Rattus norvegicus: one gene and its partners. The protein of the gene in region 5 purifies or fractionates together with the protein of the main gene of each other region. This does not show direct contact. Links are inferred from orthologs where the notes say so. Each region holds a gene or a part of one and is shown on either strand. Other genes may lie near its edges. The genes, in order: Rpl11, Srpk2, Nifk, Ftsj3, Nop2 and Nop56.

Region 1 (4,563 bases), on a different chromosome or scaffold from region 5:
GTATTCTAGGCTTGTATTAATCATAAAAGTAACAACTTACACACTTCACTACTTCACTGAATTTTCACAGTAACCCGTGACACTGAAGTACCTATTTTTTTTTTTTTTTCCCGGAGCTGGGGACCGAACTCAGGGCCTTGCGCATGCTAGCAAGCGCTCTACCACTGAGCTAAATCCCCAACCCCCTGAAGTACCTATTTTACACAAGGGGAAAGAAAACAGACTGAAATCATTTAAATTAGTAACTAGTAAGTTGAATTAAAACCACACCTGCCTGTATTCACAGCTCAGGACTCTATTTTCAAATTTTATTTAGCATTTATTAGTTTATCTATATGAAAAATTTTCCCCCCGCACATGTGTTCTTGCAAGTGTGTGTCTGGCGTCCTCGGGAGGAAGGCAAGGGCATCAGACTGTAACAGCTGATTTAAGCCACTACGCTGATTAGTATAACTTCTATGTTAACATTGTTACAAAATAAATGCCCTAGAATCTGTACAGTTTATCCTTTTACTTATGTAAACGAGTGTTCTATCTGCATGTACACCTGCATACTAGAAGAGGGCATCAGTTTAGTTGATTGTGAGCCACCATGAGGTTGCTGGGATTTGAACTCAGGACCTGTGGAAGAGCTGTCAATGCTCTTAACTACTGCACCATCTCTCCAGCCTCAGCTTATTTTGAAAATTTTGCTTATTTTTTTTTATTTATATGGGTGTTTTGCCTGCCTGCCTGCATAACCTGGTGCCTGTAGATGCCAGAAGAGGGATCTGTCTCCCTGGAACTGGAGTTACAGCCAGTTTTTTTTTTTTCTCCTTCGGAGCTGGGGATCGAACCTAGATGCCTTGCGCTTGCTAGGCAAGCGCTCTACCACTGAGCTAAATCCCCAACCCCAGCCAGTTTTGAAATACAGCGTACATGCTGGGAACTTTGCAAACCAAGGTCCACTTAAAGTACGGCTATGACTCTGTTCTTGAAGTGATGGACTCAAGAACATACCAGTCTACCTGGTTTTCAAAAGACCTGGTCTTTAGCCCGAGATGACTGCAGTTCCGAGGACGATCCACTAGAGGAGGCAGCGCCAAGACAACCGTGCCTCTCTTTCCCACTCTCACCTCGTTTGTCAGCCTAGGAGAAAAATCCCGCCTCCTGACCCATAAGGCCACGGGGCCGGAAGTCCCACTCTCTCTTCCTGTTCTCCACCATGGCGGTGAGTAGAGCAAGAGTTGCTTTTGCCTCTCTTTCATCCATCTCCATCCGCGGCCGGCGGAGCCCACGAGGGCTGTTTCGCCGGTGGCTGGAGGAGGACGGAGCCCGCGATGCTGGTGGCATTAAGACCGGCAGGGCTGTGCGGGCGCAGGGCTCGCCCGTCACGTCGCCGCCCATCGTAGGAATGGGGCTCAGGTCAGCGGCCCCGAGGGCCCAGACGCGGGGTCTGGGGGCTTCCGGGAGCGCGAGCGGAATGTGCCGAGCTCTCTGTCGGGTCCCAGCCCAGGGGACTTGAAGCTTGTTTGGTGCTGGGGAGCATCTGCGGGTCCCTACTCAGGACTGGTGCTCGCTTGCAGACAGCTTGGGAAGGAGGAGGGCAGGTCGCGTAGGCCGATGTTTCCTGTAGTTTGTCATTTTAAGGTTACATTGTATTCTCTCCTGTCTGATTGGCTTTCTATAAGCTCTTGTGTCTATTACCCAGAAACATCGACCGCCTTAGCATTCAGGCTTACTCAGTGCTCCTCCGCCCCAAACACTGAGACCTTTTTAGTCCTTAGTCCATAGGATTCGGGACCGTAGAGATCAGACTGGAGAAGACATTGGCTTCTCGACTTTGACGGCTGCGTTTACTCTTTTCTGCAGCAAGATCAGGGTGAAAAGGAGAACCCCATGCGGGAACTTCGTATCCGCAAGCTCTGCCTCAATATCTGCGTGGGGGAGAGTGGAGACAGACTGACCCGAGCAGCCAAGGTGTTGGAGCAGCTCACAGGCCAGACCCCTGTGTTTTCCAAAGGTGAGTGGTGATGGGCTAGCCAGAGAGGCGTGGATGGAAGGCCTCAGTCCATCTAGCCGGAACAGGAGTGCGAATAGGGAGCTAGAGTAGACGTGTAGTATTCCGCCTGGTTGACAGGTAAGAACAGGGTTAATACATTACACTGCTGGGGTGAGAGACTATCCGTTCTTATTCTTAATATTCATGTTCGTATCTGAGTACTCTGTTTGCTTGACAGAAGAGGGCGTGAGATGTTGTTATAGATGGTTGTGAACCACCATGTGGGTGCTGCTGGGATTTGAACTCAGGACCTCTTTAAACCACTGAGCCACCTCTCCAGCCCCCTATCAGTGCTTCTTAACTTTAGGCTCTACCTCAGCTTCCTTAAAATGAATTCTGATTCCCTTGTGTGGCCACATGGGAGGTGTTAATGTGCTTGAAACATGGGGTCTGTTGGGAGTGTGGTTATAGGTGGTCTGTTGTTGGGATTGGATACCCTTTCTTAGTACCACCGGTGAGCCTGGGCTAGTTAGCCTCAGGACATCTGGACAGTCGGCCTTTTGAAAATACTAGCTTTTACCAATGTCAACCTCCCAGCTTGTCCCTTCCACACCCCATTCTGGATTTTGAATGCAGGTTCCTGTATGATAGAGCATAATGTTAAGCTAGGCCTGGTAGCCTATGATTGTAACTCCTGTACCCGGACTGAAACAGGAAGATTGCTCCCAGGTCAAGGCCAGCCTGGGCTACATTTGACATTCTCAAGGAGTATTAACGGTGCTAACCTTTGTCTCTGACTTGCCTAATGTCATGAACTCTGGGGATTGTAATGTTCTTAGCTGAAGTGCGGCTGGGGACATTAGAGCTGGAAAGCTCTGTTCTGTGTTGGTGGGTGAGGTTGATTAACACGTTAGATGCCGGGCAGTGGGAGTAAAATGTTACCTACCTCTCTGTTCCCTTCTTGCAGCTAGATACACCGTCAGGTCCTTTGGCATCCGGAGAAATGAGAAAATCGCTGTTCACTGCACTGTCCGTGGAGCCAAGGCAGAGGAGATTCTGGAGAAAGGCCTGAAGGTGAGGTGGGCTGGCCTGGAAGTGGGGAACATTTGATGGATGATGAGAGATGATTTGGTTTAAGGGAAGGGTTGCCTGTTCTCCTGGCTGGGATGCACAGAGTTTTGGTTTTGCTCCGGACCTTCTGGGTGTTGGTCTGAGCTCATACTATGCTCTTTAAACACAAGGAATAACCTGGTTGCTCTTTATGTCTCCTCAGGTGCGAGAGTACGAATTACGGAAGAATAACTTCTCAGATACCGGCAACTTTGGCTTTGGGATTCAGGAACACATTGACCTAGGCATCAAATATGACCCAAGCATTGGCATCTATGGCCTGGATTTCTATGTGGTATGTGGAATGTGGACTTCTTGATCCCAAGCTGCCTGTGGGGAGAGGGCCTGCTGCTCCTCTGTCTGTTGTCCGCACATGCTGTCTTGCTGTTGGGATGTAGTGCTGGGTTGAAGTCTGTGTCTTGTCTGCCTGTGTGTCCCCCTTGAGAGAAGGGCCTTGTTCTAGCAAGTGTACAGGTTCAACCACACAGGGTTGACAGGTCTCTGCTGTGCAAAGCTCTCTGGGAGAAACCTGTGCTGCCTTTGTCCCTGGCATTGGCTACCCTGTCTCCACTCATCCCTAGTCTCTGGCACACGTGAGTTCTGTGGGGAAGACATGGAAACAGACTGTGCTCAAGTGGGGTTTTCATGTGGAAATGACTCTGTTACCACAGTGCTTCTGTGAGAGCAAAGAGCCAGACGTAAAAGTGAGACCTGAGGGGGAGGTCGGTTAGGGCGGCAGAGCTCTGGGCAGCTTCTGAACCAAGGGGGTGAGTGTGCCTTTGTGCCTTTGGGTGCTTTACATTTCTTCACATTACACATGTTGAAGGTTTTTGTTGTGAGGCAGGGTCTTTGGTTTACAGCCCAGGCTGGCCTTGAACTCCCTGCATGTTAGTATTACATGTGTGTCTGGTGCCTAGAGGCCAGAACAGGTCAAGGGAATCAGATCCCTCTTGAGACTGACGTTACAAGGCTGGAGACCAGTTGGGGAAGGAGCCTGCAGGGCATGTGTGTTCAGAGCTTGGTGTGTTGTCCGGGTAGCTAACGACACTTCCGTCCAACAGAGGTACTGGTCTTGCTTCAGAATCTGTTAAGTTTCTGGATGACTTGAAGATCGGTCTCTAATGTGTGAGTCTTGTCTGTCCACTGGTGACCCGGCCCTAGGCTGGCTAGATGACTGTTGGTTATTCTGGCACAGGTGCTGGGTAGGCCAGGTTTCAGCATCGCAGACAAGAAGCGCAGAACAGGCTGCATTGGGGCCAAACACAGAATCAGCAAAGAGGAGGCCATGCGCTGGTTCCAGCAGAAGGTAAAGCTGATTTCCCCCAGTGAACTGGTGGTGTGTGGTGCTGGTGGCTGGTGTTGGGTGGGAGCTCTGAACACAGTGCTGTTGGGTGGGTAGCTTGTGGAAAGATTGGATACTGGGGTGACTTCGTTAAACGGCTCCCAGGGTTGGTGGTGGAAAGGTCTTGAGT
Region 2 (4,674 bases), about 150 Mb from region 5:
CTTAAGCTACTGTGAAAAAAACTGTAACCCATTTATTTTTCTCTTTTTTTTAAACCAAGTCATTTTTTAAGAGTTCAAATAAAGTATTTTAGAAGTATAATAACTGGCTAACACTAATTGAAAAATGTGATGAGTGCTATCATGACACTACAAGGTATTACATCCACATCCTGGATAAGACATCGGTATTAGATAATTTTTTTTAAAAAAAATCTTTATTTGTTATATACATTGTAGCTATCTTCAGACACACCAGAAAAGGGCATCAGATCTCATTACAGATGGTTGTAAGCCACCATGTGGTTGCTGGGATTTGAACTCAGGACCTTTGGAAGAGCAGTCGGTGCTCTTAACCACTGAGCCATCTCTCCAGCCCCCTTTTTTTTAATAGGCTTTCTTTTTTTTTTTTTTTGGAGCTGAGGACCGAACCCAGGGCCTTGGGCTTGCTAGGCAAGCACTCTACCACTGAGCTAAATCCCCAACCCCTAGATAATTTTTACACTTGAGATTATTCTTTTACGGGTTTTTTTTTAATTAGCAATTCTCAACCCATAAGTCACTAGCCCTTTTCACAGGGTCACCCAAGACCATGAGAAAACACAGATATTTACATTATACTTTGTAACAGTAGCAAGATTAATGTTATGCAACATTAAGTAGCAAAAATAATGTTATGGTTGGGGGTCTTGAGGAACTGTATTGAAGGGGGCAGCATTAGAGTTGAGAACCACTGCTTCAAATAAATTAAAAAATCAAACAATACAGCTTTTAATGAAATGGAGAGAAAAGGCACATTTTGTTTTAATATATTTAAATTAATTAAACATTTTATGCTTACAAAGTTTTTAATTGATGCATAAATCATACTCATCACCTCAGTGAGACTATCACACCTGCTTAATACAACTCAGGCACCTACTAAAACCAGCAAGGCAGGCTGCACAAAGTCACCGTCAACAACACTTGTCTCAAAACTTTGTAGTTATGACAACAGGTGCTCTCTTCTCTTTCAAATAACCACATAGCCTAAGTAAAATCATGGAAACACTGTAGAGCACGTTTTCATAGACTGAGTTTTAGTCAGAGAAAAAGTTAACTTGTTTTTAAGAGAGAGCGATCTTCTGTATTCCCCCATCAGTTTACCAATAAAAACTCACGCTACCCGGGAAGGATGCATAATTATGTGGTCATCTCATTAAGTACAGTGCTAGTAGCAAACTCTCCCTCTGTAGCTGATGCTTAGCCGGCTCTCAGCGCACTCCCTTGTCTACGTTCCCATCCACAGCAGCTTTCTGCAGGATACTCCCCAAGCTGAAGGCCCCTTTTGTAGCCCAGCAAACAGAATGAGTGAAATCAGGTGGCTAGCCACAAACCAGAAGTTACAAGGGTCAAGAAAAAAAGCACAAAACCTCTTAGTTACCTTTTAGTTTCAGTCTCTACAGAATGTAGTTACATCCTCACGTGTAACCAAAGTTGTAACAGAAGCTCTTCACCTAATAACACTAAGAAGTCGGAGTCACCTCTTTCCCTGCAGAGCTGGCCTCCTGAAACTAGCACACATTCTGCCTCAGATGATCAGCTAGTTTCTAGTTTGGTTTTAACAATATTTTTCCTGTATTGTTTCTTTACCACCAACTTAATTTTCCACGTTATTTTCCTAAATTTTCAATCTACGAACAACAATGCTGAAAAATTAGCCGTAGAAAAGATAAATCAATATGGCTTAAATACAGTTGTCAACATTAACTATAAATTGGTAAGATAGGGAAAAGGAAAAGGTAACCATCAACTGTCTGCCTGAGAACCTCAATCTCAAACACTCTGAATACATACTGTATACTCACAATTTCAATAAACACAAGTGAACACAGAATTTACTTATCAAAATACGGAACTTTAGTCTCATTTCTTACAGCAGATATTTTTATCTTAATTTTGCTTATGAGGCAAAACGGTAATTTTCATGAAACATCTCGTTACAGGTATAATCCTAAGAATGACAGATAAAATAACTGCTTTAAAAATACTTGTGAGTCATTTTGTCCTTACCTGCAGGCGTGAACCATCACTGCATGCAGGGACTCTTCCCTGGCAGACACTTGAAGAAACATCAGATCTCTTTTTCAGATGTGACTAATCTGTGGGTTTGCATTCCTAAGCTACGTACAAATGGCACTCCCTTTGTTCATTAAAAATATATATAGACTTATTACAGGGAAAAAAATCAACTGTTTAAGCTAGATATTTACAAATAACCTTGGGAATTCTATATACCAGCAACCTCAGAATACAAGAACAAAAATCTCATTACGTCCTTTAAAAAGCAAGATTTTTTTTTTTTTTGGTTAAATTATTTTTTAAGCTTTCAGCAGCTGCCACACTTGAGCCAGCGATCTGCTGTGTTATGGTGCGCATGCTGCAGCTGATTAGACTGACTGTTTTTCTAAAAAAATCAATTTCCCCTCGCAAAGCAGAACGGCTTGCCCAAATACACATCTTCAATCCAGCACAACGCCAGCATGCAGTACAACACGTTCCATAGCAAACTTGACAAGGGAAAGGTAAGTCCTGTTTGTTTCTTGGCAATGTTGCCCCATTAATTGTTCATGCAAGAGATGTAGCTGTACCTTTCTGAAGAGGACGACTTCTCAGAGTTAACTGACATCAGCAGCTCAATCTTCTGCTTGATTTCTGGAAAAATCAGAAAATATTCACAACCAAGATTGCCCGCCCTTGCTTACAAGCCTTATATCAAGAGATTTTTCTTCCCTAATCCCTTTTGTTCAGAATGAGGCCACAGGATTCACAGTACTTCTGTTCGGGCTGGGATTCAATGGTGCTGTAAAGGGACGGCGCTCCAGAGCACAGGCCTTGCTAAGCTATGCACATGACTGTTTATGAAAGCAGGAAGCACCACTTCCTTTAAGCAGAGGGGTGTCCTTTTTTTTTTAAGGTAGAACTACCCGGGTTTTATTAAAAGGTTTCAAATTGAACAAATTACAACACAAACATGAAATGCTAACAGCTAAACTCAATATACTAAATAATTTGAGAAGCCTAAATTACAATGTTTCAATCTGCAATGAACAGATATGCAACCCCTGGCTGCTTCTATTTGATTGGCCCTAAAAAATATGGCTCAGTGAATCATTTCTGTCACTTAAGAATGAAATATTAAGCCAAAACCTCAACTCAATGATTAAAATGTTATAATTTCCTGATTGTTTTTAATCAAATTTAACATCGGTCCCTAATGTTCTCAGAAAGACTTCTTTACACCTCACTTTCCCCTCCTCCTTCACAGAACACAGTGAACAGCAACACCCAGGTACCGTGCAGAGAGGATATTCTTGTCCTTTTAGGAAGGACTGGCAACGCCACCTACATCAGAAATTTAAGTGCAACTTCAATTTAATTAAAAGATGGTTGTTGGAACCAAGTTAGGTAGGAGAAGAACTTACAGGCCAGAGTGAAAAGAGCACAGCAAAGGCAAAAGACACGGTAAATATAGCGAGCTGCCTTAAACCACACCAGCAACTTAGTATCTCCACTGAGTAACCCCGGTGTTCTCACTTCGTGGGAAAGGCTCTTTTGTCTGTTCTTAAAAAGTATTTTCACTCTATTTTTTTAATTACAATATACATTTGTAATAAAAAGTCCACATACTAAAATTAAAACTGTTATCACTGGAAACCTATAAGATGTCAGAATTTCAAAGCAGACCTCAATAATGTCGGGGGTGGGAGGGTAAGCATGCACACATGCACGCATATTTCCTAGAAACAAAACAATGGTTTAAAATGCTGACTACAGCAATAGAGTTAAAATATGAAAAAAACGTAAGGAAAAAATAAAAGTAGGAAAGTTCTCTCCCAGTGTTAAGGGATTTTCCTAATTTAAGCATATATCCTCATCCCATAGACATAATAAAATTAAACTGCTAGAATAATAAAACTTACCTTGAGAATTCTGAGGTAAATTACAGGGCCCAGCGCAGGGGCTACAGGGAAACTGTTTTAGTAAAGGCTCCCCTCATTTCAAAAGAGAAACATCTCTGCATGGGACTTAGAAACACTTCACTTTCAAAAACCATGGGCTCTTCAGGAAACTGCCCATACTCTCTAAAGCCTCTATTTCCTCATCTATAAAATGGGGATAAGTATTTCTACTTGTGGAGAATTAATTAAATAATCCACGCAAAGCCCAGGCGAGTCAGGCATGGCATGTGGGGACCCTGGGAGCCTGTTCCCACCGGCTAACACAGCCCTTCTCCCCTTGATGCACACTTACTGAAGGACCCAACGAGGCACAGGCTGTCCGCCTTACTGCTGCTTCCACAATTTTAAGCCCACTTTCTTGCCCCGAGCATCATCAGTGTCGCCATGTGCTTTAATCAGCGTGCTACTGTAAGTGGAAGCTCACTCCACACCCCAAGCACGCTACGCTTTTTGACTGGATGTTTCAGAATGAGATTGTGCTTGAACCACCATTATTGCAAAGAGAGTCTCTTTAAGTTCTTACTTTACTATGTCTAGATAAAACCTGAGGTAAACACCATGTTAAGGCAGTGGAGCCGCACAGCCTGTCGCAGTGATGCAGGAAGGATGTCCATGTTCTCTCCAAACCATCACGTTTGTTTAGTTCCGGAAACAGTGAGCGATTCCGGAAGAATTT
Region 3 (4,401 bases), on a different chromosome or scaffold from region 5:
GGAAGTGGAACCATGTTTCTGGAGCAAATATGGATTCATTGCTCACTGTACCTTCACTAGTTGAGCGGTGAACAAAGGCTACATCTCCTGGTAGCTGTTAAATAAATGCAGCAGTACATCAAGAATCAATTATTTCTTAGAGGGGCCCATAGATGTTATTTGGGGAGAGGCCTCTGGAGCAAGTGAGGAGTAGCCATTCCGTGAGACTGTGGAGTCTACAGAATTTAGCAGCTATGACTCAGGCAGAGGCAGTGGCTGCTAAGATTATCAGGAAGCTGGACAAACACTTGACAAAGGAAAAAAAGCTGCTGGCTGTATTAGCCAGGGCACCTGCAGGAGACAGCAGGTACATTCCAGAAGGGATCCACGAAACTCAACCCACCAAGAGCCAAAGCTCAGGAGCCTCCTCAGGAAATGGAAGACTCAGACAAAACAACACCTTGTTTCCAAGGAGGGAGGTAGAGACAGGTGGGGCAGCACAAGTCTCCCAAGGGAAAGGATTGTTCAGAGAACTAGGAAAGGCAACCAGCAGAAACCCCAAGAGTTGGAAATTCTCTTCCAGGGAGGAACCAGTGGGCAACAGGCCTTAAGAAGCTGGTGTGGTACCACAGACAAATCCCACCGCATGATTTAAGCCCCAGTAAAAGCAAATTCACAAAAAACAAAACAAAAAAAAACCCACCAAAAACCAAAACCAAAAAACTGACCTGCCACTTCTGTTTTGGCTAAACTGGCTGGGAGCAAGTTCTACAATCCAGGCTCCAGCTCCCAGTACTGGGCTCACTTGGCCTTTCAGTTGGTGCTTGAGGAAAAGGTGCGTGTGTGTGTGTTCTACTTCCTGTTTAGAGCGCGAGTGCTCTTACCATTGGGCCATTTCCCCAGGTCTCAGTCACCCTGTCACTGGGCTGGAGCTGGGCTGAGCTGGCTAGTCAGTGCGCCCCAGGAACCCCATTCCCACTTTCCTAGCACTGGGATTACACATGTATGTGACCATATCTGGCTTTTGACCTGGGTTCTGTAGATGGACAGTTACAAACTGGGCTATCTCCACAGCCTCATTATTTTTCTCTCTTTATTGAGATAGAAATCCACATTATGTAGCTGTGACTGGCTTCAAACTCAGTGGTCTACCTATCTGTCTCCCAAGTGCCGGGACGAACGGTATGAGCCACCATGCTGCTTCGCTTGTGAAGAGTTCCCAAGTAGGAACTTTGTAGGTAACAAAGTTTTGCCTATGAATACAAAGGAGGCCGTACAATTGACAAGCAAAATAAACATAGTTGAATTCAGGTACAGAATCTTACCCGCTTACTTCTGGACAATCTGAATCTTCTAATATCGCCAAACTGGGCACAGTAGTCATAGATGTGGCTTTCAGAGAGCGTTGAAGGTAGGTGCCCCAGATAAACTACTCCAGAGTTAAGTTTTTCTTCCTTCTTCTGCTGAGGACAAAACAGATAAACATTTTAAAAAATTCACACTGCACCAAAACATTGTATATACACATTTTTTTCTGACCTGGGTCTCATTATGGAGCCTTGGCTGGCCTGAAACTCACTATGTAGACCAGGCTGGCCTCTAATTCATGAATACTAAGAGTAAAGGCATTACTATGCTCTCTGCAAAGGACTTTATTTTTCAACAAAGGTATGTTACCATTCCTTAACTTCAGAAAAATTTAATTCTAAAGTCTTTTTTCCCTTTTTTGAGACAGGGTTTCTTTGTGTAGCCCTAGTTGTCCTGGAGTTAGCTTTGTAGACCAGGCCAGACTCAAACTCACACAGACCCACCTGCTTCTGCCTCCTGAGTGCTGGAGTAAAGGTGTGTGCCACCACCCCCCAGCTTTCTAAAGTCCTTTCAGAGGATAGGTAGAGCTTTGCCTGCCTCTGTCTCTCCAGCACTGGACTGAAGGTAAATGTAACCTTACCTGGCCTGCAACAAAATTTTCAACACCCTTCATTCCTCTTGGTCCGGGAACATTTCTCTATCACAGCAGAAACTGAAAAACTAGGTGTCTGTATCTCTTTTCTTAAGCACCGCTGTGCAAACCTGAGGCTTGAGTTCAATCACACAGAGCCACAGACTCTGCAGAGACAGACTTATGTGTGCCGTGGTGTGCATGCACACCCACCTGTCCCTACAAAGCAGTCGGCACATGTGTTCCTTAATGGACAATCAAGTGAAAGTCTGTCATTGTCACTCCGAATCCAAGACCTTCAACTCTGAACTCAGATGGCAGCTTATTACATCGAATCATTTCCGATTAACCTTCACAGTGAAGACTATACTTCTGTCACCACCTTAGAGAACAAGAACTTGTTTCCCATCAGGTAGGGTACTGGGTGACCTATAGTGACCTACACCTGTAATCCCAGTGGATATATGGTTCAAGGACTAGACTGCACGGCAAATGTGATGCAATTTTGTGCTACAAAAACTCTACAAAGACACTGTAACAAAAACAACCCGCACAAAAGACACCCCCGCCAGGACAACAGCAAAACAAGAAAGAAAATCTTCCTTTCTCTCCAGTGCACCTCATGCTGAAAACCAAAGGGGATATAAACTTCCTTTCGGGGCAGTCTGGGAACAGAGCTTGGCAGGCTGTAATCCCTATTTTCTTTGGCGAAGCTCTGGTCTGAATACTGAGCCCGAGCTGTTTTCTGACTCTCGATCCTCCTGCTTCCCCGCTCGTCCAAGGACCTGGATTTGTCTGTTCCGTCTACTAAGCACTACAACGTAAGGGGACATACATACCTTCCAAATGCTGTGGTTCATTCTGAACCCCCATTTTGCGGGCCAAAGCGGAAATGTGACAGCTTTAACATATTTTGGGAATTGGAGGTGCCATGCTCCCCACACGTGGTACACCTCCTTTTTCACGTGAGCCCTGAGGGCCTAAAGGGTCAAACCTCACACCGATTCCCTGCCTGCCTCAGTCTCCAGAGCCCGTGAGAGGTGGGCTCCCGAGTCAGCGCGGCCAGAGAGCCCCGCCGCTCACCTTTTTCGCGCGCCGTTGTATTTGCGTCAGATCCTTCTCAAACTGCGAGTCCTCCCGCGGGTTCAACGCCAGAGTCGGCTTCGCAGGGCCTGAATACTCGGCCATACTGGAGAAGCACGAACAAGTTAATCCACGCGGAACCTCCGGAAGTGACGTTCTTTTCACTACTCGGAAGCGGAAGCAGAGGCGGGAGTGTAGCAAGAAGAGCAAGCCCTGGTGTTTGGAATTGGACGACCTCGAGCGCCACCTATTGACCACAATCTAAAAGACTTTCTAAGACGGATTAAAAATTATTCGGAGGCTAATGTTGGTGAAGTGCTTGCCCAGCTCTGCATAAACCATGACTGGAGCCCCACGCCTGTAATCCTAGAATTTGGGAGGTGGAGGCAGGAGGATCAGGAGTTCAAAGCGGTTCTCATATGCATAGTTCGACCACGGCCTGGGCTCCATGGACTCAAAACAAATTTACAAGTCCCAAACATTATCCATGTCTGTTGGCTAGTCAGGCCTACAAGCAATAGGGAAAGTCTTCCTGCCATGGACTCCTTTTGTAAACTTTGTAAACACTCAAGCAGGAAAGTGGTCAGGCCCCTGCCTGAGGAGCTTCAATGGCCAGCCTCCCCAAATCTCCACATGTCCCCCTCTTTCCCTAACATCCCTAACGATTTCTAACCGCCCAGAAGTGGGAGAGTGACCAGACTCTGGCATACAAGAAAAAAGTTCCACCAGTCCCTGAGTTCCCTCAGGTTCAGGACTTGAAATTCCACCAGTCCTCACCATGGAAATCTCCACAACATAGTGCAACATATATTTGTATTTTTGATATTATACATGTGTCTTTATGTGTTCAGGAATTCAGGTGACCATAGAGAATAATGGTGTGGGATCTCCTGAACCTGGAATTACAGGCTGTTGTGAGATGCCCAGTGTACTGGGAACTGAACTCAAGTCCTCTGGAATAGTAGAAAATATTTTTAACTGTGAACTACTTGTTCAGTCCCTATTTATTTTATTTTTATGTGATAAGTGTTTTGCCTGTCTGTATGTGTACCCTATATGTGTAATGTGTGTGCCGAGGACAGAAGAGGGTATCAGAACATGGACTTAAGGACTGTGAGCCAGGGTCCTTTGGCTCTTAACCACAGAGCCATCTCTTCAGCTCCCTAGTAGGTTTCTTTAGATAACACAATAGGAATTTTGAGAAAACACACACACAAAAAAAGAAGTTTGAAGACTTTCTTATGTTGAAATAATTGTCTTGGGATGTAGCAATGGCTCAGTGGTTAAGAGCACTGGCTGCTCTTTCAGAGGTCCTCAGTTCAATTCCCAGCAACTACATGGTGGCTCACAACCATCTGTAGTGTGATCTGACGCCCTCTTCTGGTGTATCTGAAGACAGC
Region 4 (4,534 bases), on a different chromosome or scaffold from region 5:
TACTGTTATCTTACTTTCTCCATCTTTGTCTCTTCTTAAAGTCCACACGCCAGAGTTCAGGCTTCAGCCATAAACTTAACACAAGCCTGGTCCCCAGAGTCCAACATAGTGTTGCCCTTATTCCTGTGTACCTAAGTTCCTTGCGCCCCAGCACTTTGATGTCCTGACAGCATGCTCTGATATCTTCAGTGGTAGCTGGGTGCTGTGCCAACTCTTTGTCGTCTATTGAGATCTGTTTGTGAGGGAAAGAATGGGACGTTGTTCTGGCCTTGTTTCTGGGCCTCCTATAGACTCTCAATCTAGGAACTCACTTCGCTGGCCTTGGAGAGGAAGTCAACAGGATTGGCAGCTCGCAAGAAGTCAGTGACTGAGGTTCGGTGATACAGAGTGAGGTCACCTTCAGCATAGCCTTCAGCCTTAGGAAGGGAAATAAAAGATGATTACTAGACAGTCGATTCTAAGATATCAAGTTCTCCCAGTTTCTCAAAATAATAACAATAAAAACACCTTTGGCTTCTTCTTTGTCACCAACTCAGTGACAGTTTTAGCCTGAACTTCAACTTCCTTAAAGGCAAACTTGGGATCGAAGAATTTAGCATCAACCTTGTCCGGAGCCAGGAATCCTAAAATGAGAAGAGAGAGTAAAAGTTCTGCTAGATTAAAGGTATGCTTTCATAATTAGAAGGCTGTGTCAAGAGGAAGGGGTTGTGTCTTACCTTGGCAGACTACAAAGATTTCTGCAGATTCGTGACGAGAGGCCTGGGGCTTGGTGGCCTGGACACGGTGGAACAGCTGCTGGAAGATCCACAGCAGAGGCTGATAGTCTCGGGAGCGGAAGACTTTCGTGATGAAACAACCACCACGGGCCAAAAAGTCACAGGCCAAACGCAGAGCCATCAGAGTTAAGTGAGCTGTAGGACAGAAACAGCCAGTGAACCCCTGAAGCCTTAGGGCACGCCACCTCCACCCTCCCCTCCAAGCCCACGTTCCCTGTACCTTGTGAGTAAGCATCATGGACCCAACTAGCCCCCACATTGGGAGCCCCATCATTGAGCACAACATCAACTTTCCAGGTCTTCAGCTCCTTCCTCAGGGCCTAATGAAAGTAAAGGCTTTGTAGCAATGGAAACACAATGATTGCTAAGAACAGAATTCTGATTCAGTCATCCGTCTAGTCAGAGTGAGTGCCCACCATTGGCATCACAGTGCCAGGTACTAGGCATACAACAACAACAACAACACAACCTATCTTTGCCAAGCTTAGAATTGGTTCACTGGAAAGAACTTTACTGAACAAAGAGTCTTCCACCCGTTCACAGCACTATCCATGCCAGGCTTGGTGGCACGTGGAACCCAGTATTCAAGAGGCAGACAGACTGGAAGATCAAGGCAAAACTAGGCCATGGACCCAGCTCCACATAAGTGTGGACTAACTACATAGTTAGAAACTATCCCAAGTACCCAGCAAGGCTCTATCTCAAGGGAAAAAGGGGAAATAAAAAACAGGTAAAGATGGAAAGGTGACCAGGATTGTCACGGTCTCTTTAGCCATGCACTTGAAACCATGGTAAATTGGGAAATGTCTCACTTTCAGGAGGCAAGGGCGCCAGCACATAAGAGGGAATGAAGGAGAGATCTTATTACCTGCCTACAGCGTTCTGTTGTAATATCTTCCTGGAGAGTCACCACATTGGGGAGAGGCTTGATTGGAACCAGGTCCACTCCTTTAAGATGTTAAGTCGGTGTATTACAGGGTGGAGGGAGATGTAGGACAAATTTAATACCTCTCCCACCCCTCCCCCTCAAATACCCAAGAGTCACTCACCTACAATAAGACTGGATACAGGCATAAACTTGGCAGCCACCTGCAGCCTGTGGAAAAGACAGGTTTAAATACCTTTCATCCCTTGGCAATGTGATTTCCCAGCCTCTTAAGGGGCACTTGTTAAGTGTCTTGGCCAAATTGTCTATGCACACATTCAAGAAGCAAGCTGCTGGGCGTAGCAACACAGGGCTGCATTACCAGCTATCAAGGCCAAACGTTCAAGGCCAGCCTGGGCAATTTCTGAGAGTCCCTGTCTCAATGAAAAGAAAGCAGATTGGAGATATAACTCGGTGGTGGAGCGACTGCCTAGCATGAGTAAGTCCTTAGGTTCAGTCCCACGAGAGGGGAAAAAAGAATGACACTGACTTCCAAAATTTAGGAGAGACACATGCTATGGAATATTTAATCTGAATTGTATAATCGGATTTCCATCCTCCCCCAAAGCAACTCAAAGCCAGCCAGTGCAAGGGACGTATCATCACAAGCAGTCCCTGCCAACCAAATATTACCATCCTCCAGGTGCAGCACACAGGTCCAGCAAGGCCCGGGCTTTCTGAAGGAACTGAAAGCGGCGATTGAGCTGGATCAGTTTGAAGGCAGAACGCGAACGATAACCTAGACCGTAGGGAGTGGATGTATAAAACAATAACGTCTACGGATGCCTTTTCTAAGAGGACTTCCACAGCCTCACAACCCCATCACCCTCCCCCTAAGGAAAAGGAACACAATATTAGAAAAAGCGTAAAGGCTGATATGTTATTCACGCAGCGCAAACCCACTCACCGGTCTCCTTGGCCAAGTGATAGAACTTGTCCCGCCGGCTCTTGCCTACTTTGCCTTTCTTGCCCATGGCGGGATGGGGTAGTATCACTCACTCTGGGGAGAAAGAAAAAGTTGAGAATATCTTTCAGAGCGCTGGATTTTTGCTTCGGTTCCTCGGGTGGCGAAGCAATCACTTACCGAGACGTTAGATAGCCCTTAACTCCGCAGGTTTTCAACACTTAGGGAAGTAGCACATGTGGGTAGTGATCGTACTTCCGCTTCCGCTCGCGCTCCCTGTGTTCCTAGCGTCTTGATTTACGCCATTTTGAGTGTGGCCAAAAATTTTGTCAGCGTGTCTTGCAAGTTAAAAGTAGAGGCTAGGAAGTAGAGTACAATAACTACTCCCTAGACTCTAGGAAGCATCCGCCATAAGTTATATATCTCTTTACAAACCTACTAACCGCCAGTAGAGCCTGTAATAAAGCCACTGTTATTGTCTCACCACACACCCCGCCCATTGACCCGGAACTGTTCTCGGTCGTGACCCAGGTCGCACGCTTTCGGCTCCGCGCCTGCGCAATAGGGTGACTTGGATGCCGGCGGTCCCTGCCGAAGGAGGGAAGATGGCGCTTGATGGGCCAGAGCAGGTAAGGATTCTGCCGCGGCGTCAGGGCGGCATCCAAGCCGAGTGTGGAGTGCACAAAATCTGAACTGAGGGGTGGCCACTAGCAAAAGGGTCGAGTGGATCAGGGGTGGGTGGACCACGTCAGACTTGACCCTGCCTGGAACTGGATCTGCTGTGTCAGCGCCACCCGCGGTAAGCAGGACAGGGCTGGGTAAAAACTGAATGAAGAGCTAGGCAAGCCGGAATGGCCTGGGTGGGACCTGGACTTGGTCCTTCTGTTCTGCCTTTGTCTGTAGTAGTTACACCTTGGGTTTGTATAGCTCTTGCCACAGAGCAAAGCGCTCTGTAAGTATATGGCCCCTTGAGCCTCCTAAAAGTCTTCGAAGGTAGGCGGTAATTGCATCCTTTTAGTGGATTCAAAAGTGAAGGATTAGAACCAATAACTAAGCCTTTGCAGTTCAAACACACAGACCTCACCTATGGAGATAACCAGTTTCTGAGGAAAAGGGAATGATACTTTCCTGGCCTTGTTTCTTAAGCTATATGGTAAAGTGCCCTGAAAATACTTTGGCTTTATCCCTTAGTAGTTTACGTAACTGTTTAACAATTACACTTGTCTTCAGATGGAACTGGAAGAGGGGAAGGCAGGCAGTGGACTCCGTCAATATTATCTGTCCAAGATTGAAGAACTCCAGGTAAGTCCAGACACCAGAGGGAGCTTGAGAGCTAGCTGGTAGGTGCAGATTTCTCAACGTCCTTTTTCCACTGGGAGTGCAGCAAAGTGTTCTTTTCCAGTGTCGTTCTTGTAGCTCTTCAGTTGTTAATTTATTATGCATATGTGTATATGTGTGCTTTCGTAAGCTTATATGCATCATATGTATGCAGGTGCCTGCGCAGGGCAGAAGAGGGCAGTGGATCCCCTGAAACTTGAGTTACAGATAGTTATCTTTCCCAGGCACTTAGAGTGACAACTAAACCCAGGCCCTCTGCAAAAGCAGTAAACCCTGTTAACTGGTGAGCCGCCTCTCCAGCCCCTCCTCTGTGGTTAGGAAGTAACAAGCAGTGTAACGTATATTGGTAATCTCTTGGATGGGAATGGTATTTAGTTAGGATTTCTGTTTGCTCGCTCGCTCGCTTTTTCAGGCTTTTCATTTTATGTTGTGTTTGGGTGTTTTGCTTGCATCTATGTCTGTGCCAGAAGATGGTGTAGGAGCCCTGGAAACGGAGTCACGGAAGGTTGTGAGCTGCCGTGTGGGTGCTGGGAATCCAGCCCAGGTTCTCCCGGAGCAGCTGGGACTCTCAACCACTTTTAACCATGCTTT
Region 5 (4,512 bases):
CCTCGGACTTAAGGCAGATGTGATCAACCCATTGTGGGTGCTAGGAATTGAACCTAGGTCCTCTGCAGTGCTGAGCCACTGATCCATCTCTCCACCCTCCAAATTAGGCAGCACACCCATACACATAAAATAAACTGAAGAAAAAAAAAAAAAAAAGATGGCCTGGAATTCTGTTCCCGAGGGCTCCACCCCTCTTCCTGTCTCTGTAGGCGCTGCAGCACTGACATACATGTAGGCAGACAATAGCACACACATACATCTGAAAAAGCCGACAGTGCTTTTCAAAGTTGGGAGGGCTGAGATGGATCATCAGAACCCTTTACTCCACTCAGACTGTCCTTGTCTCTCAAGGAGCCTACAGTTTGGAAAGCTAAAAAGCAAGTTAGACATGGTAGCACACACCCTGGTGCCATCACTTGAGAGGCCTAGGCAGGAGGAGTACACATTCTAGGCCAGTCTGGGGACTAAAAGGCTAAGATTCAGTCAGGCATGGTAACAAACACCTGTAATCCCAACACTCAGGAGGCTAAAGTATGACAGTTGTAAATTAAGAGGCCTGTGGGCTACACAGTTGAGAGTTTGGGCCAACCAGGGCTACACAGTGATACGTTGTCTCAAAAGAACAAACAAGCTGGGTGTGGTGGCATATACCCTTAGTCCCAGCACTCAGGAGGCAGAGGCAAGAGGAGCTCTGAGTTCAAGGACAGCCAGGGTTACACAGTAGGACAATAGCTCAAATAAACAGAAAGATCTACTTGAGAATACCCAGAAGTGACTCACCTTTTCCTCCTCATCCTCCGAGTCCGCTCCATAGTCGTCCACCATATCTTCACTACTGTCTTCAGAGCCCCAAAGTTCCCCCTGGGTCACCACATCTTCTTCCTCAGAGTCTTCCTCCTCATCCCCATCACTGTTTTGAATTGGTGCTGGACGCTTCTTACCTCGAACCTGGACTGCTCCTAAAAACGGTAGGGTGTGCCAGACCCTGAGTGGACAGCAAACACACCTGCCTCACACCCCCCGAGCCTCAACTTTCTAGACCACATCTGACAGCTCATAGGGACCCATCTCCATCCCCGAGTGCATTCAGCATTCCACTCATGAGCACGCAGACACATGCAGACACAAACGAGTAACAGTAAAGACAGGGCTGGAGAGAAGACCCAGGCTAGGAGCCGTCATCCTGGCACTCGCATGGTACGGATTCTACTTCCAGGGGACCTGGTGCCTTCTTTTGACTTCCACTGGAACCAGGCAGCCACATGGCACACATTCATACACGCAGGCAAGACACTCATTCATGCACATAAAATAAATGAGGCAGAGACAGTTGGATCTCTGTGAGTTAAGGTCAGCCTGGTCTACAAAGTAACTTCAAGGATACCCAGGGCTACACAGAGAAACCTGTCTCTTAACCACTAAACTACCTCAGCATCTCAAACAAACAAGAAGAGGTCTAAAAAAGAGATCTTTGCTATTCCTTCCATTGTAGAAACAATTAGCCCTTTCCAAGAGCCAGTCGATTCTTCACAGAGCAGCCAACTCCCATGTTCACTAACCTTTGGGTAACTCTCCAGGCAATGTTTTGATCCCAGGAGACTTATTTGGCTTAGGGACTTCAACAGACCCTGACCTCCTCTTGGCCGCCCTGAAAGAAGACAGAAAGTGAAGACAAGGGAACACAAGGGTGGGTTCTGCCACCTCCCACCACAAGGAAACAAGACAATGCACGACCAGCCCTCTTCACCCATGGGTCAAGCAACTCCAATCCTCATTACACCTGGGCATCCACTCACCTCTTCCGAGCACGACTGGACAGCCTCTTGAAATTCTCATCACCAGCTGTTTTATTGTTAAAAAGGAGCAGATTAGGAAGTGATAGGAAACAAACTGGGGCAGGAATGTGATCAGGAAGAGATTACCACATTAACTAAAGTGTGGCAGTGATAGCATTAGGTATGTGTAAGCCCCCTAGTACACCCACAGCACCGGGAAAGCCATAAGGTTATAGACTCTGGGAGTCACTCTGTAACACTGAACTAGGAGTTACATCGAGATGTTAAGGAAAGGCCAATATACAACCTGCGCTGAGTATGAGGAAAGCCCATCCTATCCCCATCACTTCCAGAAAATTAAAAAAGACCAAAAGATGTAGAAGAGATGAAGCAGTCATCAGATTGGTCAGCAACCAAATTCAAGCAGGGTCATCTGATAACAATGTAACCTCAAACCCCCCTTTCTGCCCTCCTCTTAGTCTCAGCTTATTCATTTATCAACTAAATAAAGTAGAACTTAACTTTGTTATTTTTTAAGAGAAATTACAGAAACAAATCCTTCTTCACTTAGTATGTGTAAGACACCTGACCTAACAGAGCCTCTCTCCCACGACTCTAAAATTCGATGAAGTGAGACCATGTGTCCACAGAGTTAAGGATCTCTTTCATGAGCCTGTGGCTTGCCAATGTCTATATATTGCACCTTCCATTCAAATAGAACACGAACTCCCAATGCTACCTTCTTTAACACGGGCGATTTATTTCCTAACAACTCACATCTATGCAACAGGTAAAAGCGGACACGCAAACGAGAAGTTATAACACAAAATGGAGCAAAGGCTGGGCGGGATCAGGGAGCTACGACTCTCACCTGCAGGCAAAAATCTGATCAGTTCGGTCTCTGCACCCTTCTGCTTTCGAGCCTTTCGGCCGGGCCCACGCTTCTCCTTCTTCGTAGGATCCAACTTGCGCCCCATGATAACTAGAGCAAAGAAAAATGAGGGAAGGCGACGTTGGGGGATGCTGAAAAGGGAACGCAGGCTTAGGGATATTATCTGGGACGAAGCACCGCCTGGCCCAGGACCAGTGCTCGGAACGCCGATGTCCTCCAGGCTCTCCCACAGGACCTCGTCACCACGCCCCTCTCGAGAAGCTCAGGTCGAAACCCTGCTCCTCAATCCTGCGGACGCACCTGAAGGCTCGGCTTGCCTAGGACTGGTTCCGGCAGACCCAGTGCCTCCAGCCAAGGCCCGCTCCACGTGCACTTGGGGAAGAGTTCAGAGGCAGCACACCGCGAAAGTGAACTACGCGCAAAGCTTCCGGACGACGCCCCGCCTCTTCCTGCCGCAGCACCGGAACGGACCTGATCCAGGAACACGCACCTTCCGCGGTTCACAGAGGTAAACGCCCCGCTACGCGCTCGTGCTTTCTCTGCCCTCAGTTCGGGAGTTGGCTCCTGCCCGCGGGTTCCTGCTTGTTACTCCTAAGGCCGCACGCTCCCTCCACCTAGAGCTTGCCCCCTGGCACCCTAATTGCCTTAGACCTCAAGATCGCGGGATCCCACGCCTCCGCCCTCCTGTTCCCAAAGATTAGAGCTGCTTTCCTTAGAGGTAATCCTCCCTCCAGCCCTTTTCACTTAGCAAAACGTACTCGTCCTTCCTTCAAAGCAGTATTAGAGTTAAAAACCTTACAAGCTCGAGAGATGGTTTGGCGGATAAACGCGCTTGCCAAGCCTGACGAACTGAGTTTTGAATACAGAATCCACACATATGGTGGGTGTCGGGAACAAACTCCTACAAGCTGCTCTTTGACCTCCATGTGCACAGTAGTAAACGTAATACTATATACAAACTATATAAGTGAGTAGTAGTTCACTCTAATCCTAGCCCTCTGGGAGTAAAGGCAGGTGGGATCACGAGTTTTGAAGGCAGCCTGGAATTCCTGGACCCAGAACTACTCAAAAAACCCTGTCCCAAAAAACCAGTAACAATAAACTAAGGGAAGGTGAATCACTGAGAAAGATGAGGGTATGGTAACACATCCTTAATTCCCACACTTGGGAGGCAGGGACAGGCTGTATTTAGACCCTGGTCTCAAAAAATAAAATGAAATATTTATGTATGTATATGTATGTCTGTGTGTGTAGAAAATGTTTCCATGATAGATTGCTTGCCCAATGTCTTAACAACTCTGCCAGGCAAGTGACTACTTCATGCAGGAGGGCTCTGGAGACAATTTGCAAGGGAGATCAGAGCCTATGAAGGGATGGCCCAGAAGCCTTTTTCTCCACAGACTGTCATCCCGGCAGAAGCACAGGCACACAGGCTGCAGTCTTCAGGGATTAAACCAGTTCCTGGGGTATCTGGAACCCACACTCACCCACATAGAACCAGATCACTAAAATACAAGGAAACTTTTATTTTCAGTTCTCATCAAGAAATTTGCTGTGGTTTTTTATGCTTTTGGTTCTTTTTCTTTTTTTTTTTTTTCCAACTTTATTTTAGCTGCTCAGTGGCTGGAGCCGCTGGGTTCCTGGTATTAAAAAGGTGCCAACAGAGGTAGCTGTGTCTCACCCAGGGGCCCGGCCCACTCTGAATACCCCCCAAAAGGAGAAAACACAAAGTAAACCAACAAAATAAAACCAAAAAGAGGAAGAAATTCAGATCATTTTCTTCAAGCCTGGCAGAACCCACAACAGTTTGTAACAGGCGCACGGTGGGGAGAAGCCAGGGTCCAG
Region 6 (4,674 bases), on a different chromosome or scaffold from region 5:
TAGCTCCCAGAGACAGAGAGGGAAGGCATTCAATTTGCTGACCTGGAAACTTGGTCCCTTTTTGCTGGGCCCTGGGAATCACTCAGACACTAGGACTGGCCATCACTCCCATAGTAGAGGCCTCTATAGGTCAGGTAGTCCTGGTCAGCCATCACTGTAATCCCCAAACAAAGCAGTGGACACCAGAAGCAGCACCTGACATGGGCAGGCGCCCTCACTGGTACCTGAACAGGGCCTTTTCAGCCCCAAGGATCTGCACTGTGGATGCTGGGTACTTGGCCAGGTTGGTGAGGCTGCCAGCATGGGCAATGAGACGTGCACCTACCTGGAGAGAGACCCAAGGAGGGCAGGTGAGTGGACAGAAACCTGACCTACCACTCTTTCCCCTCTCCTCCTCCCCACCATGCAACAACTAGGGACAGCATGCTAGCCACAAGTATAGCGGTACAGAATGCTATGTTTTACTCCCCCACTTTTGTGTTCCCCATGACGCACCGCTTCCCCAATTAAGGCTGACAGGCTGGGGGCTACTTGGCTCATCTTGGAGCGAAGGTAATTGTGTAGGCTCTGGCGATACTCTGACAAAGACACCACACGACTGGAGAAGCTCTCGATGTTTATCAAGTCGATAGCAGATATGTCCATGCCTAGGAAACACCTAGTGTGAACAGGGGGACCAGATACTCAAGGAGCCTCGTACCTTATACGGGCTGCCTCGCTCCGCACTGACCCATGGAGGACCGAGAGGCATCCAGAATGGCCTTAGCCTTGGCTCCATCCATTGTAATTTCTTCCAGCTTCTCTAACTTTTCTTCATTTAGCTCCCTGCGGTTCCCGATGAACTGAGCCAGGCGACAGTATGTAGCATTGTCGTTGATAATCTTCACCAGCTCTGGAAAGTGGTACCCATACCACTCCCTGCAGAGGGACAATCACACCTTGACCCAGCTGTCAAACCTGATCTCAGGTCCCAGGCTCCCTCAAATCACTGTCTACCCATTCACAATACAGACCAGGCATGGTGGCCTAGGCTGAGGTGTACACAGGGTAGTTTATTCTGCCTCCTCTTTCTATACAGTCAGTGTAGGAACACAGCCTGTGGTAAGCACAAGGAGGCCTGGCTTTGGTCCATGATTCTACCCACAAATTATCAGCCTTGCTTGACCTTAAGTTTGCATTAGCTAAACTAGGCCGAAGAAAACCAGTGTTTGGTGGCTTCTGCACCTTACCTGACACGCATGGAGAAGGTATTGATATCTTTATCCAGTTGGTCCAGAAGGCTTATAGACTGAATGATCATGTTGTCCACCCGGTTCACATTAAACTTAACTTTGGCACGAGAATAGCTGTGTCCCAGCCCTAGCTGGGCTTTACAAGCAGAAAGATCTGTCAGACCCTTCACCAGGTTATGGAAATGCAGACGAACCCCTAAAAAGAAGGCAGGACTATGGTTAAGGACCTTTTAGAACCCACATAACCACTCATAGCTGCTTACTAGAAACCAGCAGCCCCTCTCCTGGCCTCTGTGGTACTTCATCCACATGGTAGAGGCAACACACTGAACAGGACTCTTACCTCGAAGGATCTCAGCTATCACACCACCAGTCTGGCAGTTGTACCCCAACTCTTCCTGTATAGCAGCACCGATCTTGGGGTCTCCGACCCCCAGAAGTACTTTCTTCTTTTTAGATGGCAGGTATGTCTCCAGGAGCAGGCGGAGGTCCTCATGAACAACACCTTGGAACAAAGAACACAGCTCTTAACGCGACGAAGAATGTCCCAACTGTAACAGAGGAAGGACTGTGCCTCCACTCCGACCATACAGGAACACCCATCCCTTCAGGCATTGCTCAGAAACATGGAGTCATCATCGATCACTCAGGGGATTGACAGATTTTTCAAGTCATCATTGCAAAGCCTGACTCAACCACAGGTCCGGGAGCACAATTGTGAAGCATTTAACTGTTTTAAACTGCCATCTTGTAGGTCTCAAATAATGCCTAGAATCTATCAAGCTTAGAAGAAAATCATCAGCCATTCAGAAACACGCATCCCTGGGGGGGGGGGGGAGCTCACCTTCAGACACAGCATTAGCATTTTCCAAGGCAACCTGGGATGAAGAAAAGGGGCAAAAGGCCACCAGACGAACGACATTGTGGAATTTGCCAAGGTTAAGCACACACTCCTCCACCTGTGGAGAGGATGAATGGGCTTTCTTTGAATTTGGCCTCTACCGCGCAGTAAAGCAGGAACACCAGCTGTTGTAGCAATTGGTGCCTAGGCCCGCATCCGGACTCTAATTCTTAAGAAATGAGAGTATGAGATGTTGATCTACAACCTCTCCTATTATATAGATTAGCCTTAGAGTCCCCTCGTTCTACAGCTCTGCCCCCCTCCCCGTTCGGTGCGGTCGGCCACGTGGGAACACGCGGTGCATGCTGGGGTTTGGCGGCCTTAGGGGCTGCATTGCAGCACCACGAGCCCACCGATTCCACTCACCTGCGGCAACAGCAAGCTGATCTCCTCTACTTCCTTCAGCGCTAACAGCGCGTAGCCGACCGCATGCTCGAAGAGCACGTGCAGCAGAACCTGAAAAGGGAACCGGCGCGCGGCCATTAGTCAAACTTCCGAGTCCGCTGGGCCGCTGCTAGAGCAGGCCCTGGCCCAAACTCCGAGCCCAAACCTGAATGCAAACCCAGACGCACACTGAGGCCTTCACAACGCAAATAACCCACAACCACTCCTCACCATGGCGCCTGCTCCGTGCCCAGCTCGCAATGCGGGTAGCGCGCTCTGGCGCGCGGAACCAGACTGCGGAGGCCACGCCTTCTCCTGTTGGACCAATCAGAGGCTGGGGACGGAACCATTACTAGGTCTTCGGAGGGATTTGCGGGTGTGGTATCGTCCGTCGGGCGGGTTGGATTACGCGGGCGCGAGCGGGCCTGCCCATCTGGGCCTCTGAGCCTGAGCGAGCTGAGACTGTGTCGGGAATGAATGGCGCCGGTCTTACCGGCAGGCCGCAGAGCCTGGAGATCATTCTTCTCCGTTTTTCGTGCTTTTTTACCCATGTGCCGGGAGGCGGAACTCGGTGAGGGAACGAAAGGCTCCCTGATGAACTTTGTCGGTTTCCCGCTGCCCAGACAGTCCTGGTCCTCGCCTTCCGCCTGGGACCCGGTCCCCGACGCTGCAGAAATGGCGGCTCCTTGCTGCCTGCGTCTTCCTCTTAAATTTTGTTGTTCAAAAAAGTGTTGGTGCGGGCAGTGGCGTAGATAATGGCGGTTTACCTCTTGCTAGTTCTCTTCCTTGCCCTGCTTCATAGAACCGAGCTCTGCTCGGCACCACGTGGTGCTCATGGCTGAGTGGGCCCTGAATCCTTCCAAGAAGCTGCTTTCTTGTTTAACAATGTCATTTGTTGGCACACCAAGGTATCTAATTTAAAATTACTCTTGCTTTAAAGAGGAAAAAAAACCCACATAACTTTAGTTTTAGCATTTTAAGTCCCAAACTTGATTGCCTCTTAGTCTGTGCCTTAAAGAAAATAATAATGCTAAGGGGATTCTCCTCTACCTCCCTTCCCTCCTCATTTTCTTTCCATTCCCCTCTTCCTTTCCTTCATCCTTCCTCACCTCCTCACTCTTCCTTTTTCCCTCTTCCCTTTCCTCCCTTCCTTACCCCTCCCCCCCACCTTCTGGCGGCTCTGTAGCTGACTACGTGTATGCTCTTTGAACCTCTACCAGTCCTGTGTATCTGTTAGCGAATTCAAGGCAGGGCCTCCACCAGCTGAACTCTACTGCAACTCCTAAAGGGATTTTGAAAATTCTTATAACCATAAGGCACATTTATAAGTTGTATCTGATTTGTTTTCTCAACTCAGTGAATTTACTGAATTCATTCGTCGGGTAGAGAGATGGCTCAGTGGTCAAGAGTACTGATGACTCTTCCAGAGGTCCGAGGTCCACTTCTCAGCACCTACATAGCATCTCACATCTACCTGTAACTCCAGTTCCTGGGGATCTGTTGCTTTCTTTTGGCCTTCACGGGTACCAGCCATATATGTGGTACACACACATACATGTAGGCAAAATGCTCATACACATAAACATTTTAAATATTGAAGCACAGAGAGATTGGGAGATCTCCAAGGTCTGCCCCATGCAGGACAGCAGACAGGATTTCTCCAGGTTTTCCCCAGCCCTCTGAGTAAAGTGTTTCAACAGCAAAAAATTGGAAGCACATAGTTCATTTTATTGCACTTATAAATCTATATTAAGCATTACTGATTAAATCATAATAATCTCAGTATTGTTTACAGATATGGTTATTACTGCATTTTGGTTCATGATCTCAAAACTAAGTCACTACTTGTCTCTTTTTTTTTTTAAAGATTTATTCATTTATTATATATAAGTACACTGTAGCTGTCTTCAGATACACCAGAAGAGGGCACTGGATCTCTTTACAGATGGTTGTGAGCCACCATGTGGTTGCTGGGAATTGAACTCATGACCTCTGGAAGAGCAGTCAGGTGCTTTTAACCACTGAGCCATCTCTCCAGCCCTACTTGTCTCATTTTTAAAGATGTTACTGTGTATGTGTGTTTGCTTCTCTGTGGGTGTGCATGGCACTGCGTGTGTAGATGAAGACATCTTGTGGGAGTTGGTTCTCTCCTACCAC

The links.
Region 1: the proteins of Nop2 (region 5) and Rpl11 fractionate together in Homo sapiens (co-fractionation; 3 studies listed by BioGRID and IntAct, with this or other methods). This does not show direct contact. The link is inferred for Rattus norvegicus from reciprocal best matches to the Homo sapiens genes NOP2 and RPL11.
Region 2: the proteins of Nop2 (region 5) and Srpk2 purify together in Homo sapiens (affinity purification with mass spectrometry; 3 studies listed by BioGRID and IntAct, with this or other methods). This does not show direct contact. The link is inferred for Rattus norvegicus from reciprocal best matches to the Homo sapiens genes NOP2 and SRPK2.
Region 3: the proteins of Nop2 (region 5) and Nifk fractionate together in Homo sapiens (co-fractionation; 3 studies listed by BioGRID, with this or other methods). This does not show direct contact. The link is inferred for Rattus norvegicus from reciprocal best matches to the Homo sapiens genes NOP2 and NIFK.
Region 4: the proteins of Nop2 (region 5) and Ftsj3 fractionate together in Homo sapiens (co-fractionation; 3 studies listed by BioGRID and IntAct, with this or other methods). This does not show direct contact. The link is inferred for Rattus norvegicus from reciprocal best matches to the Homo sapiens genes NOP2 and FTSJ3.
Region 6: the proteins of Nop2 (region 5) and Nop56 fractionate together in Homo sapiens (co-fractionation; 3 studies listed by BioGRID and IntAct, with this or other methods). This does not show direct contact. The link is inferred for Rattus norvegicus from reciprocal best matches to the Homo sapiens genes NOP2 and NOP56.

The regions. Positions count from the first base shown.
Region 1 is NC_086023.1:153,557,749-153,562,311, reverse strand, and holds the start of Rpl11 (large ribosomal subunit protein uL5), read left to right. Parts: upstream 1-1,509; 5' UTR 1,510-1,851; coding exon of another isoform or gene 1,852-1,878; coding exon 1,879-2,002; intron 2,003-2,948; coding exon 2,949-3,055; intron 3,056-3,254; coding exon 3,255-3,386; intron 3,387-4,286; coding exon 4,287-4,397; intron 4,398-4,563.
Region 2 is NC_086022.1:12,427,928-12,432,601, reverse strand, and holds the start of Srpk2 (SRSF protein kinase 2), read right to left. Parts: upstream 2,860-4,674; 5' UTR 2,692-2,859; coding exon of another isoform or gene 2,666-2,691; coding exon 2,628-2,665; exon of another isoform or gene 2,112-2,627; coding exon of another isoform or gene 2,050-2,111; intron 1-2,049. UniProt on the Homo sapiens protein: Serine/arginine-rich protein-specific kinase which specifically phosphorylates its substrates at serine residues located in regions rich in arginine/serine dipeptides, known as RS domains and is involved in the phosphorylation of SR splicing factors and the regulation of splicing.
Region 3 is NC_086031.1:31,944,883-31,949,283, reverse strand, and holds the start of Nifk (MKI67 FHA domain-interacting nucleolar phosphoprotein), read right to left. Parts: upstream 3,139-4,401; 5' UTR 3,107-3,138; coding exon 3,002-3,106; intron 1,443-3,001; coding exon of another isoform or gene 1,440-1,442; coding exon 1,305-1,439; intron 1-1,304.
Region 4 is NC_086028.1:91,684,358-91,688,891, forward strand, and holds the start of Ftsj3 (pre-rRNA 2'-O-ribose RNA methyltransferase FTSJ3), read right to left. Parts: upstream 2,823-4,534; 5' UTR 2,786-2,822; intron 2,702-2,785; 5' UTR 2,676-2,701; coding exon 2,609-2,675; intron 2,441-2,608; coding exon 2,335-2,440; intron 1,873-2,334; coding exon 1,826-1,872; intron 1,725-1,825; coding exon 1,645-1,724; intron 1,097-1,644; coding exon 997-1,096; intron 912-996; coding exon 717-911; intron 624-716; coding exon 508-623; intron 417-507; coding exon 312-416; intron 233-311; coding exon 132-232; intron 1-131. Other genes in the region: Psmc5 (26S proteasome regulatory subunit 8), read left to right, coding at 3,211-3,234, 3,836-3,907.
Region 5 is NC_086022.1:159,617,529-159,622,040, reverse strand, and holds the start of Nop2 (probable 28S rRNA (cytosine(4447)-C(5))-methyltransferase), read right to left. Parts: upstream 3,076-4,512; 5' UTR 2,968-3,075; intron 2,758-2,967; 5' UTR 2,753-2,757; coding exon 2,647-2,752; intron 1,843-2,646; coding exon 1,797-1,842; intron 1,649-1,796; coding exon 1,560-1,648; intron 960-1,559; coding exon 781-959; intron 1-780. UniProt on the Homo sapiens protein: S-adenosyl-L-methionine-dependent methyltransferase that specifically methylates the C(5) position of cytosine 4447 in 28S rRNA. Required for efficient rRNA processing and 60S ribosomal subunit biogenesis.
Region 6 is NC_086021.1:137,928,312-137,932,985, reverse strand, and holds the start of Nop56 (nucleolar protein 56), read right to left. Parts: upstream 2,808-4,674; 5' UTR 2,752-2,807; coding exon 2,749-2,751; intron 2,590-2,748; coding exon 2,500-2,589; intron 2,192-2,499; coding exon 2,077-2,191; intron 1,916-2,076; exon of another isoform or gene 1,847-1,915; intron 1,738-1,846; coding exon 1,576-1,737; intron 1,429-1,575; coding exon 1,230-1,428; intron 1,119-1,229; exon of another isoform or gene 987-1,118; intron 919-986; coding exon 731-918; intron 648-730; coding exon 496-647; intron 326-495; coding exon 225-325; intron 163-224; exon of another isoform or gene 77-162; intron 1-76. UniProt on the Homo sapiens protein: Involved in the early to middle stages of 60S ribosomal subunit biogenesis. Required for the biogenesis of box C/D snoRNAs such U3, U8 and U14 snoRNAs. Part of the small subunit (SSU) processome, first precursor of the small eukaryotic ribosomal subunit.